Canis lupus familiaris: one gene and its partners. Each later gene encodes a partner of the first gene's protein in a complex. Links are inferred from orthologs where the notes say so. Each region holds a gene or a part of one and is shown in the gene's direction. Other genes may lie near its edges.

The links. Proteins that work in one complex are often made in the same cells at the same time.
Region 2: STX4 (region 1) and BET1L share a complex: the UniProt entries of both Homo sapiens proteins name them as parts of the SNARE complex. The link is inferred for Canis lupus familiaris from reciprocal best matches to the Homo sapiens genes STX4 and BET1L.
Region 3: STX4 (region 1) and BNIP1 share a complex: the UniProt entries of both Homo sapiens proteins name them as parts of the SNARE complex. The link is inferred for Canis lupus familiaris from reciprocal best matches to the Homo sapiens genes STX4 and BNIP1.
Region 4: STX4 (region 1) and STX5 share a complex: the UniProt entries of both Homo sapiens proteins name them as parts of the SNARE complex. The link is inferred for Canis lupus familiaris from reciprocal best matches to the Homo sapiens genes STX4 and STX5.

Annotation. Positions count from the first base shown.
Region 1 is NC_049227.1:17,349,086-17,353,264, reverse strand, and holds the start of STX4 (syntaxin-4), read left to right. Parts: upstream 1-1,379; 5' UTR 1,380-1,728; coding exon 1,729-1,758; intron 1,759-1,946; coding exon 1,947-2,048; intron 2,049-2,159; coding exon 2,160-2,259; intron 2,260-2,395; coding exon 2,396-2,470; intron 2,471-2,766; coding exon 2,767-2,837; intron 2,838-4,179. UniProt on the Homo sapiens protein: Plasma membrane t-SNARE that mediates docking of transport vesicles. Necessary for the translocation of SLC2A4 from intracellular vesicles to the plasma membrane.
Region 2 is NC_049239.1:25,711,331-25,715,514, reverse strand, and holds the start of BET1L (BET1-like protein), read left to right. Parts: upstream 1-1,384; 5' UTR 1,385-1,472; coding exon 1,473-1,491; intron 1,492-2,051; coding exon 2,052-2,143; intron 2,144-2,346; coding exon 2,347-2,403; intron 2,404-2,524; coding exon 2,525-2,692; 3' UTR 2,693-4,184. Other genes in the region: RIC8A (synembryn-A), read right to left, coding at 108-191. UniProt on the Homo sapiens protein: Vesicle SNARE required for targeting and fusion of retrograde transport vesicles with the Golgi complex. Required for the integrity of the Golgi complex.
Region 3 is NC_049225.1:40,187,212-40,191,467, reverse strand, and holds the start of BNIP1 (vesicle transport protein SEC20), read left to right. Parts: upstream 1-1,456; 5' UTR 1,457-1,525; coding exon 1,526-1,609; intron 1,610-4,075; coding exon 4,076-4,168; intron 4,169-4,256. UniProt on the Homo sapiens protein: As part of a SNARE complex may be involved in endoplasmic reticulum membranes fusion and be required for the maintenance of endoplasmic reticulum organization. Also plays a role in apoptosis.
Region 4 is NC_049239.1:54,381,025-54,385,036, forward strand, and holds the start of STX5 (syntaxin-5), read left to right. Parts: upstream 1-1,212; 5' UTR 1,213-1,227; coding exon 1,228-1,455; intron 1,456-1,665; exon of another isoform or gene 1,666-1,820; intron 1,821-2,141; exon of another isoform or gene 2,142-2,160; coding exon of another isoform or gene 2,161-2,385; intron 2,386-3,581; coding exon 3,582-3,652; intron 3,653-3,826; coding exon 3,827-3,882; intron 3,883-3,997; coding exon 3,998-4,012. Other genes in the region: WDR74 (WD repeat-containing protein 74), read left to right, coding at 268-438; testis-expressed protein 54-like, read left to right, coding at 631-691, 815-1,014. UniProt on the Homo sapiens protein: Mediates endoplasmic reticulum to Golgi transport.

The DNA of each region.
Region 1 (4,179 bases):
TCCTACAGATGGGATACTGAGGCCCAGAGACAAAGACATGACTTTCCAGAAATCCATAGCAACTCAATCACAGAGTTGATCACAATACAGATTTCCTTACCAGGACATACTAGAGAGGGGCCAGTCTTTCTTTTGCTTGAACCTTCATGTAAGTTCTCTGGAAAGAGTCCTGGGATCCAGGAGACCTGATTTTTATTCTGGCTATGCTGAGACTCACTTTGTGGCCTTGGAGACTGCTCTCACATAATGTAAGTTTCACAAGTGAAAGGTTTTTGTCAGTTAGGCCTTGATTTATCTCCGACCCCTACAACAGTCTCTGGCCATAATAAGTGCCCAATAAATGGATATCCATTGAATGAATGACCATCTAGTGGGCTAGGGCAGTGTCACCGTGAGAGGCTGAAGCCCAAAAGACAAGCTTTATCTTCAGATACATGAAAGGTTAAAGTTCTGTCCACAGATATTTATTGAGGGCCCATATGTGATAGGTACTGAAATAGGCCCTGGGGATTCAGGTAAGAACAAGACTGCGGCGCCCTGACCTCAAGAGCCCACGGTCCACTATAATGGGGAATGTGTGCAGATTTTTTTGCGGGCTTCAGAGGGTAGACCCAGATGCTAGGGAGGGAGGGAGTTAGATGTTAAGTGGCAGACTCCTCAATGTAATACAGACACTTTTCTCAGCTTTAGTTGCCCTGAAATGGTCTTATGCTCGGAAGGTGGTGAGTGCGGCGGAACTGCAGTGTTCATGCAGGGCGCCAGCCGCCCACCTGTCAGAGGCTGCGCCAGGAGGATGCGGGAGGAGAGATTTCTGCCTTGGGTGAGGTCACTTTCCACCCCCAGATTCTCTGCCTACAAAACCCTGCAATTCTCTGACGCTGGATCTTATTATTTTCTGAATCTCAAGGTCCCATGATGCTGACAGCCCCGAATTCTAAGTTCTCCGTCTGCCCACGTCCCTGGACCCAAAAGAAAATGAAGCCGAATTCAGCGAGGGTCCTACCACCCACTGCCTCAAACGGTCTCTGGGGGTAGTCAGCAGCCCCCGCCCCGCCTCGCGAAGGCTGGAGGGGCGTAGCTTGGGCGCCAGGGTCCCGGAGACGTCGTGGGGAGAAAGGTGCTCCAGAGACGGAGTTGACAGCGCCGGGGCACGTGACAATCAAAGTGTCACGTTCCGAGGTCCGCGAGGGTGGGACCGGGCTGGTCATGTGACGTGGGGGGGGCACCATGGGGTGATGTGAGATGCAGGGCCTCTGAGATTACGTATCAATGACGCACTCCCACCCGGTCTGGCAACTAGATTTCCGTTGGTAGATGCGACAGTTCCGGCGAAGGGGGCGGGTTCTCACGTCCTGGCAGCTTTGCTTCCGTTCGGGGCGCCGCAGCTTCCGACCTCAGGCTCCCTCCGGCGAGGAAGAGACGCGACCCCGTGCGCATGCCCCGATCATCCCAGAGGGGCGGGGCCGAGGCTACGGGGACGGGAGGGGGGGAAGAAAAGGGAATTCCAACCTGTGGAATCTTGGGGGGTCCCCGGGGTCGGCTGCTTCCCACTGACTGTGGATGGTGCCCGGGACGGAGCCTCTGGTGGCTCGTGGGGGGGCCCGGGGGTCCGCAGGGTGAGGGCGGAGGGAAGTGTCAGTGTCAGAGTGTGAGTGGGGTACGGGAGTTCCAAACTTAGTCTCGAGGCCCTCGGGGCTCCGGCGCCGGGAAGAGGGAGCTCGGGCCGCCATGCGCGACCGGACCCACGAACTGAGACAGGTGAGAGGGGGCTGCAGGGCTGGGGGTGGGCGGACGGGCTGGGGTCTGGCTGGCATACAGGACTCCCGGTCTTCGGGACAGGGAGGGGTGGCTGAGGGCTAGGAAGGAAAGACCCGGAAGTCTGTGAGTCCTGCGGGGAGAGAGCAACCGCAGGGAAGTGATGCCAGTGACCACCCCGGCCGTGGCAGGGGGATGACAGTTCGGACGATGAGGACAAGGAGCGGGTCGCGCTGGTGGTACACCCGGGCACGGCACGGCTGGGGAGCCCGGACGAGGAGTTCTTCCAAAAGGTAAGAGGCTGGGGTCTCCGCCTGTCTTCATGAGGGGGCTGGATGATCCGAGGAGCAGCGCGGTCCGGAGTATCCCCCATCTCCCTCAGCCCTCTCGGTCACCTTCCCCAGGTCCGGACAATTCGACAGACTATTGTCAAGCTGGAGAATAAAGTCCGGGAGTTGGAGAAGCAGCAGGTCACCATCCTGGCCACGCCCCTTCCCGAGGAGAGTGAGTGAAACCCCAAGTGCAAACGCATGCTCAGCCAGAGGGATTGTGGGGATTGTAGTTCCGTGCAGGTGGTGGCCAGGCAGGTTGGTTTGAGGTAGGAGCCGCTGTCTGGGAGTCATGGCTTTCTCTTCTTCAGGTATGAAGCAGGACCTGCAGAACCTGCGTGAGGAGATCAAACAGCTGGGGAGGGAGATCCGAGCACAGCTGAAGGGTGAGCCCCTAGGACCTCAGACAGACCCTTCCCTGTGGTCCTGCCCAGCTCCTGGTATATCTGGGGACTGTGTGGCTCAGTATTGCAAAGAAAAATACACTTGAGCTACCGTCAGAGGCTCATAATTAGTCATTTATGATAAAATATAATTCCCAAAATAATTCTGTGGAGATAAGCACCTCTCTATTGTATGGATGGGGTATGGCCCTGGCCCTGTGTCCTGGTTCCCACATGATTTTCTGAAGCCACACAGATCAAATCTCCTTCCCCACCAATCCCCTTGTGTCTTCCCACAGCCATAGAGCCCCAGAATGAAGAAGCTGATGAGAATTATAACTCAGTCAACACGAGGATGAGAAAAACCCAGGTGGGTTTATTATTCCCAGAACTAAGACATTTTGCAGGGTTTCATAGACCATTAGGTGGCAAAAGTAAGGGGAAAGGGCCCTTAGAGATCATCAAGTCCAACCTAATGATTTTCAAGTGGGGAAACTGAGGCTGAGAGAAAAAAAATCTCACCCAAAGTCTCCTGACTCCCAATCCACCTAACATCCTGTCGCCTTCTCCATTCATGAGAAGTTGCTGAATCCCCAGATGTGATCTGGGCTTGGTTGTGGAAGGCATGCTTTCTAGAAACCAACATGGTGAGTCAAGCTTGACTAGATGACAAAGACATTACTCAGGTAGGGTGTGGTAGCTAATAACCCCGCCCAGGGAAGAAGAGGGAAAGGTCATAAATGACAGGGAGCTTTCCTGCCCATATGACAGGGTCATCCTCTGCCCCATGGGCAGAATTCAAGAAATCAAGAAGAGGAACTTCCCTGGAGGGAGAAGGTCACTGAATCAACATCTTAGTGAGGAGATTTGAGGCGATCTAACTGCCCTTGTCTGGGTGCCCAGGGAGGAGTAATTTGGAGTTCCTGGAGGTCAGAGTTGGTGTAGGTGGGCCCAGAAAGTACCCTGGATTGAAGATAGGGCAGTTTGGGTATCTTACAATGATGTGGTGAAGGCAGGAGAGCAAATATGTCTCTAAGGAAGGAACTCCAAGGAATGAGCACATTGAAGGAAGCAAGAGAATGGACAAGATAAGAGGATGTTTCAGGGGGAAACTGTGGTAGTCATTGGTGTGAGAGGCTGAGGGTCCAGCCGGACCTGTAAGAGCTGGGCAATGGGCTGACCTCCAGGCATACCTTTAGTCTAAGCTGCAAGGCTGGTGTTCAGCAAGCATTCAAAGGTATTTATTGAGTGCCTACTGTGTGCTAGGCCCTTTTCTAGCTGTTTAGGATGCAGCAGTGAACCAAAGAGCCCAATCTTCATGGAACTTATGTTCTGGTGGGGCGAGACACACACCATAATAAATATGCCCACTATTTTAGAACGTAGGGTTTTTTTTAATTTATTTATTCATAAGAGACAGAGAGAGAAAGGCAGAAACACAGGCAGAGGGAGAAGCAGGCTCCATGCAGGGAGCCCAACATGGGACTCGATCCCAGGTCCCCAGGATCACACCCTGGGCCAAAGGCGGCGCCAAACCACTGAGCCACCCGGGCTGCCCAGACGGTAGTTAAGTATTAAGGGAAAAACTGAGGAGAAGAGGATTGAGAGTGACGGGAGAAGGCAGGTTGCAGTTTTAATAAGGTAGAGAAAACTTCATTCAGAAGGTGACATTGGAATAAAGATTTAAAGGCCTCTGTGAATAAATAAATAAA
Region 2 (4,184 bases), on another chromosome or scaffold:
CGCGCCGCCCGCCGCCCGCCGCCCGCAGCCCGCAGGCCCGGGTCCGCACACGCGAGCCCCGCCCGGCCCACCTCTTCCGTGCAAGCACGTTCACGGCTCGCGCTCACCTCCCGGTTGTACGTGCGCAGAGCCTCCATGATCACGTCCTCCTCGCCCGCTTCCACGGCATCCGCAACCACCCGGGGATCCATGGCGCCTCCGGGATCCCGCGCCGAGCCGGCGGGAAGGGGAGCTGCTTCCCGGCTCCGGGCGGAGTTCCGCCGCTCCGCCCCGACTGGGCGCGCGGGGCAGGCCGGGACTGGGAGCGCGCGGGGCGGGGCGGGGCGGGGCGGGGCCAGGGCTGCGCGCGGGGCAGGCCGGGACTGGGAGCGCGCGGGGCGGGGCCAGGGCTGCGCGCGCGGCATGCCGGGACTGGGAGCGCGCGCCGCGGGGCGGGGCCAGGGCTGTAGGTTCATTAAGGGGGCGAGACCTGGATCAGCTGGCTGGGACTTGAGTGTTTTGCCGGGGAGTGAGCGCGAGTTTCAAAGGTCCTACTAGGTGATTTTTCGACCTCGGAGCTGAGCGGCCTCCGAAGCTAACGGGGACCCACTCACCTTCCCACGCACGCCCCCCTAGATGCCTAGCACCAGTGCAAGTCCGGGGGAAAAGCGAAGTGGGAAGGACTTTGCGGCCCCGGGACCCGCCGACCGCTGGTTCCCGGCCCTCTGGGAGCGTGAGCTCGCACGTGAGGGCAAGGAGCCACGGGCAGCGGTCTCAGCGCTGTGGCGAATAAAGTGGGCTGCAAAGGGATGTGCGGAAGTAGCATTTCTGCTGAGGCCGGACGATAAGAAGGGATCCGGGGGAAGGTCGTTCGGTGGCCGCGGCGGGGACGCAAACATGTCCCTGAGCTCCAGGGGAGGGCGGGGAGGGTCAGGATCACCGGCAGCCACGTCCCAGGTGTGTGGCCTGGACTGAGCTCCCTCTCCCGTGTGTGTGGTCGCAGCGGTGCCCGCCGTGCAGCCAGCCTTTGTGGGCCGCCTCCGTTCCCGCGGCGCCGGGACCAAGGCAAGAGGCACCGGCCGCTACGGCCTCTGCTGCCCCCACACTCCCGGCCCCCGTCTGGCTTCGCTTCCCTTCGGAGTGCGTCACCCTTGCGTCTTCCAGGCCCTGGCCTCCACCGCGTCCCCTCGGCAACGCCTGGGGCGGGGACCCGCGGCGACCCCAGCAGCCAGGCCCGCGGGGGAAAGCGGGGACGCCCGGAGCGGGACCCGGCCCCGCCCTCCGCGCCATTGGCCGCTGGCGGCGTCTGTCACGCGTCCTCGGCACTTAAGGCCCGCCCCCCTAGTCCGGAAGTCGGCCGGACGTCGGCCGGAAGTCGGCGGGCAGAGCGGAAGCGGCGGGGTCCCGGTCCTCCCCGGTTGCGCCACGTCCGCTGAGGCGGTGGCTGGGCCGCTGGCGGGGCGGGGCCGGGGACGGGGCCGGGGGCGGGCGCCATGGCGGACTGGGCGCGGGGTGAGCGGCGGGTTGGGGTCGGGGGGCCGCGGCTGCTCCGCCCGGGGCCTCCGGCGGGCGGGCCCCTCGCGTGCCCCAGAGCCCCTGGTCTCCCCGGGAGGGGCGGCAGGAGCCGAGGGCGGGCGGCGGGACGCTGACAGCCCGCCTCGGCCTTCGTGCGCACCCGGGCCCGCCATCGGGGCGTCCGGCCCGCCGCACGTCCGCGCCCCGAGCCCGGGCGGTGGCCGACGGTCGGGGTCGCCCCGGGCCGCGCGGGGTGCGGGGGCCTCGGGCCTGCGCTGCTCAGCCTTGGCTGCCGGCCGACCTGCGGGGCCGCCGCGCCCGCGCCAGTGCTGCTCCGAGCGGCCCCGCCGGGTGACTGCCTCCCAGCGCGGGCCCACCCCCGGGCGCCGTCCTCCGCGGGCTGTCCGCGCTCGCGCCCCGGCCCCGGCCGCGGCCCCTGGCTTGTCCGCAGGACGGAGGGAGCCCCGGGGCAGCGCGGGGGCCGAGCAGGGGCCGCGGCCCCCCTCACCGGGGCCTCCGCGCCTGCGGTCCTAGGCTCAGACTGTCCCTTCTCGCAGCCCAGAGCCCCGCGGCCGTGGAGGAGATTCTAGACCGGGAGAACAAGCGGATGGCCGACAGCTTGGCCTCCAAGGTCACCAGGCTTAAGTCGGTCAGTGCGGTCCTCCCTGCGAGCGGGGACAGGAGGGCAGAGGCTGGGGAGGGTCCCGGGCTTCCTCGGGGCGCTGGTGTCTGAGGCCCGGGGAGGCCCGGCCTGATCCCGCCGGCGGGTGTTGGCGGGTCCGCTGGCCTCGCGGGCGGGACCCACCGAGTCTTTCTGGCCTGACCTTGCCCCCCGCCCCGCGTTCTGAGCAGCTGGCCCTGGACATCGACAGGGACGCAGAAGACCAGAACCGGTACCTGGACAGCATGGTAAGGGGCTCCGTCGGCGCGGGGCGCGGGCCGCTCGGGCAGGCCCTGGTGGCGCTGCGGCACCTGCGTGGCAGTCGTGGAGGCGCCGCCCTGTGTGACCTTGCTGGGATTCCTCCCTCAGGACTCGGATTTCACTAGCATGACAGGCCTGCTCACGGGGAGCGTGAAGCGCTTTTCCACCATGGCGAGGTCCGGGCGAGACAACCGGAAGCTTCTGTGTGGCATGGCCCTGGGCCTGATCGTGGTCTTCTTCATCCTCTCCTACCTTCTGTCAAGGGCAAGGACGTGAGCCACCAGAAGCCGACTTCTGTGGGTGCAGGGGCAACCAGGGTCTTCCCCCGCCTGGTGGCCTAGGCTCCTGAGGACCTACCTGCAAAATACTCCTTTGAAAGGGGGATCCCGGCCTGGGAGTTTTCTTGCTGTGTGCCTGGGAGTTGACGGCTGCCTGCGCCCAAGTGAGCTCCTGTTGGCTGGTCCCATGCAGTGCAGCTCCTTCCCTTGGGGACACCAAGCCCCAGCCCCTGTGCTACTCGGGGTGTGGAGGCCCTGGCAGAGCTGGGTGTGAATCCTCGACGTGGCCACCTGTGGCCAGCAGCCCTTCCTTGTCCCCTGGGGCTTCGACGTCTTGAGGCTTTGGGTAAGGTCACGTCCGATACGTGAGCAGCCTGGAGCTGACACAGGAAGGGGGTTCGGTTATGAACTTTGAGCACCATCTGCTCTGTTCAGAGGAGCAGCTACTCGGTAGGGCTGCTGAACATGGGCAGGTCTGCGCCAGGGGTTCCGCCCCGAGGTCACGTCTGCCCCCCAGACCCTCGGAGAAGGGCAGGGGGTTGTGGATGAAGAAGTGGACTTCAACCTTGGCCAGAGGCACTGGGCCCTGATCCTTCTGGATCCACAGTCTTGTATTCAGGAGCAGGAACTCAGGATCTACCTAACACCAAAGACGTATTTCTGGGAGACCAGAGATGGGAGCTCTAGAAGGGTTTCTGTCTGTGTGTTTGGGGTGGGGGTGCAGCACCTCTGTGGTCAAGACGAGAGGGCTCCCTAACAAGTTTTATAAGACCCAGGGGTCACCGGGCAGCTTCCCCTCCACCATGTGAGGCCTTTCAGCAGTGAGTATTCCCTGAATAAGGGGACTCTTCATCATTGCCTCATCCCTGGCCTCTCTTTGAGCCCTCACTGCCCGCTTGGCCAGCCCCATGTTCACACAAACCACAAAGTGCAGGCCCAGCTGGGCGTCCGCACCCTCGTATGTGCATGAAGACACATAAGAAATGATTTGCTAGCTGTGTCCTCCCCGGTTCCTTCCCCTATATTCCGATCCTCTGCCAGCCCAGTCGCTCCCCCTTCCTCCCAGAGGACAACTTGGTTTGCTGTCCGCCCATTCCCCCCCTCATCCCGTGGGTGATCACACGTGCGCCGACCACACATCAGCTCCGTTCTCTGGCCCTGGGCGCCTCCCCTTCAGCACTGCCGCTGCTCTGTGTTCTCCTTGCCTCCCTCCCCTCTCTTGCCCTTGTCCCTGCAGCAAGTTTGGCACGTGGTCATCATAGCTTCCTTATCTCCTGCACAGCAGCTATTGGGCTGCTCGGCCTCATCTTCTGAGTGCCCTTAGCCTCCAGATGCTAGTTGCTCATCCAGGGAGGTCAGCTGGCCTCCCTGCCTGTGGAGCTTTGCTGTGTCCCTGACTCGACGTTCCCTCTCGGGCCCTGTGGTCTTTCCTCCGCAGTCGCCACGTACACACCGTGGATCTGAGTTAGCTCTCTGGTGGTCTCCTGCTA
Region 3 (4,256 bases), on another chromosome or scaffold:
TAAGAACTTAGTACAAAGTGCCTGGCACATAGGAAGTGCTCCAAAAAATGTCAGTAATGTCATAGCAGCTAATGCACATTGAGTTCTTAAACACATGCCACATGACTACACTGTGCTTGGTGCTTTTCATGTACTACCTCATTTAATCCTCCACCTCTGTGACTCTACCAGTTAGCCTCAGAATTCTGAGGGGCAGAGCTGTGAAGTGGGTCCTCCAGCAGGATTCAAGCAGGGTTGACTCTAAGGCCTGCAATACATTGCCTATTAGGTGCAGTGGGGTGATGAACGCCTTAACGGATGGTGTGTGGAGCAGTGGAGAAACACAGATAGGCAAGCACATAGCCCCCTGTGTACGACACTATACCCAAGGGGCCATATTTGGTTTTTGAGGGAAGACGTGGCTTTTAGTGAAGGCTCTGCCACTTTCAAGTTATGTAACTTTGGGGCAGGGACGTTCAGTTTTGATTTATTTCGCTTTGATCTACTCTTGGTCCATCTACTGATCTGTAAAACTGGGGTATTACCTATTTCAAGTCTGGTTGAAGGATTAAGAGAAAAACACAGCTAGGCATTCAGGTCTTAACAATTTATGCTTGCTGATGTGAACAGAAGCACATGGGGTGGGAGCAAGAGGGGGAAAGCATTCTAAGAAAAGGGAACAGCACATTCCAAAGCTACAGATCCAAAAACAGCTTGAGGAATCCAGGAGAGCGATGGAGTGAGGTGGCTGATGGCCTTGGACTATTTGATAATAAAGGCAGGAGCCACTGTTCGTTGAGGGTCTGCTCTTAATTATTTCCATCAAAACTACTCCAGCAAGGTAGGCTTTAATAAATCCAACTGTACACAAAAGGCACGTGCCAGGAGCTACAAAAGAGGTGGAGGTGGGGAAGTGACTTGATCAGTTGTGATTTTAGAACCCTTGGACCATGTGCTGGAAGAGGCCTGTCTTGAATTCCACACGTGAAAAGCAGTAATAACATTTACCATCTTTTCATTTGCTCCACAATTATATTCACTGTACAACATATGAAAAATATAAGGAAATTTAAAGAGATATAAAAAATTGTTAATTCCACCTTCCAGAGACATCCCAATTGATACTTTCCTTTTTTTTTTTCTCTCTCTCTCTCTTCTGCAAAAAACATGTAGTCATTAGAATGCCTTTTAGGTAAAAGATGGGGAGAGGCCAATGTTAAAACGCTCTCGATACTCCCTCTCTTCTTCTTCTTTTCTTTTCTTTTTTTTTAATTTATTTTTATTGGAGTTCAATTTGCCAACATCTAGCGTACCACCCAGTGCTCATCCCATCCAGTGCCCCCCAGCAGTGTTGCCCAGTCCCCCCCCGCCCACCTCCCTTCCACCACCACACCAGAGGCGAGTCCTCCGGCCTCCTCGCCTCGACCCTCGCTCGCCTCAGGTTGGTCCCTAGAGGGCGCTGCCGAAAGCCCCGACGCGGAACGAAGGTGACGCAAAAACGAGTTTAATTTGGGCCCCGCCGCGGCCCGTAGCCGGCGTCCTCAACATGGCGGCTCCCCAAGATGTCCACGTCCGTATCTGTAACCAAGAGATCGTCAAGTTCGACCTGGAGGTGAAGGCGCTTATCCAGGTACTAATTCCCGGGACGGCTGCCGGGCCCTGTAGCCCTGAACCCAGGCTCCACCGGCCTCCTGTGAGCTCGGCGGTCTCAAGTCTGGGAGGTCGCTGGTCCCGCCCCACGGCCCGCTACCCCCTGGCGGCCCCCTCTGGTCCCGTCTCCTGGGCCGTTGGCGTTGATCCTCCCTCCGCGCGCTGTTGTCTTGCCCTCCTCTGAACGCTCCCGCGTCCCCTCGTCCCTGGCCAGGCTTCCGGTCTGTGGCCACATGGGTCGCCCCCGCACACTTGTCGACTGGGACGACCTGTCGCCCCGACGGGCCCCGCCTTCTCACGCCTCCCTCCGCCGCGCTCGGTGGCGCCCCGAGGGCCGCGAGCCCCGCCCTCCCCTGGCCGCCGCCCCGGCGGAGGTGCCCCAGGGCACCAAGGGCCCCGTCGTGCGGGAGGCCCCCGGCCACCTAGATAGTAGCTGCGACTTTGTAAATGAGGAAAAAGGCTAAAATGCCAAGGCCTGAATCAGAAGGCAGGTGGTGGCAAGACTGCGACCGGACAGGGAAAGTCGGCCTAGACGAGGGACTTAGGGGGTCTCTGAAACTCGGTTTAACAGATGGGGTACCGGACACTCCTTGCCTTGAGCCACTTAAGGGTAGAAGGCAGCAGAGCAATAACTGCTTGGCCTAGGCAAGAGGAAAGTAGAAATGGTTCCTTGAATTTAGCAAAAAGAAACCAAGAGTTTTAAACTCTTTATTAGTAGTTTTATTTTTTTTAAGGTTTTATTTATTTATTCATGACAGAGAGAGAGAGAGGCAGAGACACAGGCAGAGGGAGAAGCAGGCTCCATGCAGGGAGCCCGACGCGGGACTCGAGCCTGGGTCTCCCTGGGCCCAAGGCAGGCGCTAAATCGCTGAGCCACCCAGGGATCCCCTAAACTTTGGCTTTAGGCAAGTTATTTCCTCCGTTTCCAAAAATGTTGCTAAGCATTAGATGTAGACTCAGATTTTGCAACTAGCTGTGGCAAAAAGCGAAGGAAAGTAGGACTCTCCATGGAGACCAGATGCAGAATAAACCAAAGTAGTGCTTTATCGTGGTACAAGGAAGTGTGATTTAATGAGTAAGCCAGAAAACAGATGAGAAAACTTGATGCAAACTGTTAAACTTCTTCAACTACACTTATTCATACATATTGCAAAACTTCTGGGCTGACTTTAAGAAAATAAATTTAGGATTCATATAAAAAGATTGCCTTTTCACATAATCTAAATTGCTTAAGCCCTTCTGTACTCTCTGATATTGGGGTTCTCATGATATACCTAGATATACTGTGCTCTTACTGTGTTCCAGCTCCTTTGCAACATACTTTGCATACGTACCTGGTCTATGTGGTAGGTAATGTGATGAGAAAAGTGAGGCACAGAGAACCAGAGTGACTTTTTGTTATCCAGCCAATAAATTGCTGCAGCTGGAGTTTGCATCTACATATTTTGGCTCTAGAGCCTGCTCTAAAATCTGACCCCAGTAATTTTGAATGTCCAGAAACAAATTCTTTTTATTTTTTTATTTTTTTATTTTTTATTGGTGTTCAATTTACTAACATACAGAATAACCCCCAGTGCCCGTCACCCATTCACTCCCACCCCCCGCCCTCCTCCCCTTCCAACACCCCTAGTTCGTTTCCCAGAGTTAGCAGTCTTTACGTTCTGTCTCCCTTTCTGATATTTCCCACACATTTCTTCCCCCTTCCCTTATATTCCCTTTCACTATTATTTATATTCCCCAAATGAATGAGAACATATAATGTTTGTCCTTCTCCGACTGGCTTACTTCACTCAGCATGATACCCTCCAGTTCCATCCACGTTGAAGCAAATGGTGGGTATTTGTCATTTCTAATAGCTGAGTAATATTCCATTGTATACATAAACCACATCTTGTTTATCCATTCATCTTTCGTTGGACACCGAGGCTCCTTCCACAGTTTGGCTATCGTGGCCATTGCTGCTATAAACATCGGGGTGCAGGTGTCCCGGCGCAGAAACAAATTCTAAATCTACCCTTGAACAGGTCTGTAAACACTGTGATTTGTAATAGATGATCGAAGTTAACCTTGCCATATGATGCCAGGAATTGAGCATCCTGATTTTCAAGTTGTATCACTTTTGGATGTCCATTCTTGTTGGACATATGATCTGCTTTAAGCCTTTTATACTGACTAGGTGGCATTTTGTTAAACTTTAGGAACTAATAGGACAGTTGTGTTTCTTTTTATGCTATTATAGTACCTGCTCAAAATTAAAGAGGTTATGAGAGAAATGTAAACGATAATGTTTTTGCTCGTGTTGCAGAGGTAAACAGCAAAGATCAGGATGAATTACAGACAGTAGGCCAGCCTAGTGGTGGTTCAAGCCAACTCCCCCTGTACAGGTGGTTTCATTTCATGTCATTTGCCTCAAGAAAGGCCCCTTCACCTCTTCACTGTCTCCTAGGATATTCGAGATTGTTCAGGACCATTAAGTGCACTTACTGAACTAAATACTAAAGTGAAAGAGAAGTTTCAGCAGTTGCGGCACAGAATACAGGTGAGTAGCTGTAGAACTGAGATGGGGAGAATGGGTGACAATGAGGAGGCTCTATCCTGGGAGTAACCTCTGCTTGAGAGCTAGCTGT
Region 4 (4,012 bases), on another chromosome or scaffold:
AGGACACAGGTGTGAGCATTTCCCTGGGGAGAGAAAAAAAAAAAAACAGTGGCTGGAACTGTCTCCTTGTCTGCCAAGTTACTGAAGTTCTCTGAGGAGTGTTAATAGTTATATTCCTGATAGGGTTACTGCCGAGGGTTGACATAGCATGGATGGGAATAGTGTCTGGCAGCAGGAAATAAAAGCGATTATTTCCCAGCTGGATCCTTCTTCCCTGTGTATCTGTTTCTGTGTCCCTGACTCCTCTAACCTTTCTCCCCCTGCCAGGATGAGCCCCAAGAGGCCAAAAAGGCACCACCGGAAGACACAGAGACAGATGAACTTTGGGCCTCCTTGGAGGCAGCTGCCAAGCGGACGCTCCCTGATTCGGAGCAGACCCAAGGGGCTCTCCAAACCAGACGGAGAAAAAAGCAGCGGCCTGGGTCCACCAGCGCCTGAAGAGCCTATGCTCACTTTGTAAATAAACAGCTCAACACCCGCCATGACCCTGAGCCTTTTGTGATGGGAGAAAGGAAAGAGGGGTGGCTGCTCCCTACACTGGTGCAGTAGGATATCTGACGTCACAAAAGCCAGGCCCGGGAGCCTGGTGGGTTGGCGTGGGTGGCACGGAGTTGGGGGCCGCTCGGGGCCATGGGCTGCTGCCAAGACAAGGACTTCCAGACGGATGAGCCGGCCTCGGAGGAAGTCGAAGGTGGGACCCAAGACACACCAACGGGCCCCAGGGAACGGGAGAAGGGGTTGCTCTGACAGGACCGCCCAGGAGGTTGAACCCCGGAGGGCAAAGCAGAGCTCAGCGGCTTTATCATCTCCGCAGGCTCTGAAGAGGTCCACATGGGCCCGCCCGACCACCGGAATCAGAGGTCGAATGAAAGCCTCCTGATCACTGTGCTGTGGCGGCGGCTATCCCTGTTCAGCCGTCGGGGCTCAAGCAAGAGACAATCCGCCCAGAGTCAAAAGCAGGGATTGCAGGAGAGCAACCAGGAGGGGATCCTGGAGGAGCCGGAGAAGGGGTGACCCCAGCCCTGCTCTCAGTCTGCCCCAGCCTCCAGAGAATAAAGTTTCTAACGTGTACCTGCCCAGTACAAGCGCCCCTGCTGCCCGTTTTGCGGATGGCTTTTGGGCACCGCAGGGGCTGCGGGCTCTTTAAGGCTCCTCTGCTGAGATTGGCCCAGCCCCCTGGGCTCCGGCCCTGGCTCCTCGGGGGCGGGGTCGCGGGCGGCCTAGCCAATGGGAGGGCGGAGTCGCTCCGGCGTTTGGTGGGAGGGCGTGTCTCTCGGTCGCCGGGCTCCGAGAGGCGTAGCGCCGCCCTCCCGTCACCGGGGGTGGGGCTACGTGTGGGTGACGTGGCGGCTCCTAGTCTTTGGTCGGATTTCGGCGGATTCGGCGCTCGGGGAGGAGGCGGTGACCACCCAGGAGACTGTGGCAGTGGTGGCGGCGGCAGGCGGCAGAGAGGAGGTAGGACTCGCTCCAGAAGGGGCCTGGCTGCCGTGTCCGCTCCGGGCAGCGGCTTTCCGGGGGCGGTGACGTGAAGGGGGAAGGGAACCTGGGGCGAGCGGGCTAGTCTTGCCGGCCGGGCTCGGGGTGAGGGAATACTTCGCCGTCCAATCAGGAAAGCCCCTGTTGAGAAAGACGTCGGCATTAGCCAATCACTGGTTGCAGTCCCCCAGGAGGCGGGACTTGGGCGGGGGAGGAACTTCCTGTTTCAAATAAACACCCAGAGATTTCCCCCCCCTCCGCCTACCGAAGTGTGTCCCCCTCAGGAGGCCGGTCACCGTTTCTCCCTGAGGAGTCGAAGGGATCTGCGGATACGAGAGGGCCCGGTTAGGACCTAGGGCAGTTGCACAGGGCGGGCTGGAGCCTCGGGGCCCCGGGACCTGCCTCTGGCCCCGTCTCGGCTTCAAGGCCCCCGGCCCCGCGCTCTGGCCGCCCGAGCCAAGTTGGAAGAGTCTGAGGAGCTGGACCGGCTGGGCCAGAGAGCGGGGCCCTGCCCGCCGCCGTGGGCCGGGCCCAGAATTTGCGGGTGGCTTTTGGGCGCGAAAGTCCGTGCCAAGTGCAGAAGGGGCCCAAGGATTTGCGGTGGGGACGGGGGATTTGTGGGGAAGGAGGCCACCTGGGGAATGACACTCTGCCCTCCACAACAGTCCGAGGTTATGCGTCTCAATGATCCCGCGGAAACGCTACGGGTCTAAGAACACGGATCAGGGTGTCTACCTGGGTCTCTCAAAGACACAGGTCCTGTCCCCTGCAACTGCTGGCAGTAGCAGCAGCGACATCGCCCCTCTGCCCCCCCCAGTGGCCCTGGTCCCTCCCCCTCCCAACACCATGTCCTGCCGAGATCGGACCCAGGAGTTCCTGTCTGCCTGCAAGTCCCTGCAGAGCCGTCAGGTAAGGACCAGGAGTGGGAAAGGCAGGAGTGAGCCTTACTGAAATCTAGGAGAGGCTGTGCTCCAGCACTGTTGATTGACATGATGGAGAACTGATCTGGCTTAGAGGGGGCAGTAGGATCTACTAAGCAACAGAAAAGGGGTGGATCAGCTGTCTAGGAGCAAGGACTTACGCTGTTTTGTGAGAAATTACCCCAGAGGGTAGCCTTGCTACTCTGGAAGGAGTATCTCAGGATGAAAGGTGGCTGCGGTATATTTGATTTGGATAAGAAAGAGGTTCTAGAGAGAGCCTTTAGCTCAGAGACAGACACTTTGAATTCTAGTTCTGGAATAGTCCCATCATAAGTTTGCTCTGTGGCCACAGGGAAGTTAGTCTAGTTGGGCCTCAGGGTTTTTTGGGTGTGTGGGGTTTTGTTTGTTTGTTTGTTTTAAAGTAGGCTCCTGTCCAGTGCCGAGCCCAACACAAGGCTTGAACTCCTGACCTGGAGATCAAGACTGGAACTGAGAGCAGGAGTCAGAGGCTTAGCCAACTGAGCCACCAGGCACCCCTGGGCCTCGGTTTTTATATCTATAGAATGAAAAGAGCTTTCTCAATAAGTAATTTTTATCAAAATTACTTTAGAGTGCTTTTTTTTTTTTTTAATTAGATTCCCTTTTTTCAGTCCAGACGTCCTAATCAAAGTGGGACCTGAGTGACTTTAGATAATAGATAATTACTTTAGTAATTTTAGATATTTTTATTGCTCAGCACTTAACAGCCGCTCTTCCGTATGATCTCCAAGAGCTTTCTAGTTATCCTCTTTGATTTCCTGATTGGAGGAATAGAATGGCAATAGTGCTTATCACTTATTTAGGGCTTACAACGTATGGGGTATCTGACTAAAATACTCTATAGTCCTATGTTGTGTGATCTTACCAACAAGAATAGGTGTGTGGATTTTCTTCATCTTATACAAAAGGAAAAGAGATTCAGAATGGTTTAAGGCACTTACCCCAAACCTCCCAGCTGATAAATGGTGGAGTCAAGATTTGAACCTTGGTCTACCCATGTTCAAATCTGAGTTCTAAATGACTGCTACTGATAAGATTAGACTACCTGGTGAGGGTACTAGAGATAATTGAGTTGGACGCTTGAGGAACAGTGGCAGCTGGAAGTGAGGGGGCACTAAACCTTTACCTCTTCATGTTGCATTTCAGAATGGAATCCAGACAAATAAGCCAGCTCTGCGTGCTGTCCGGCAGCGTAGCGAATTTACCCTCATGGCCAAGTAAGTTGAGAGAAGTTATGTTGTGGGATGATGCAGAGTTTGGAGAGGCGTAGGCTTGCCTTCAGTGCCCTTGGTATGAGGGAGGAAGGGCTGCATTGGTTAAGCTGGCGCTAATGGGGGAATAGGCCCTGTCCTTCCCATCCCTGTGGTGCCCTCACTAATGCTCATTTCCAGGCGCATTGGGAAAGACCTCAGCAACACATTTGCCAAGCTGGAGAAGCTGACAATCTGTGAGTGTTCTTGGGGTCTTTCAGAGATGGGGCAGTGAACCAGAGAGGGCTGAGGAACCATACTCCCTGAGCCTTGTCTTTGACCTCCCACGTTGTGGCCTCATTGTCTCTGCAGTGGCAAAGCGCAAGT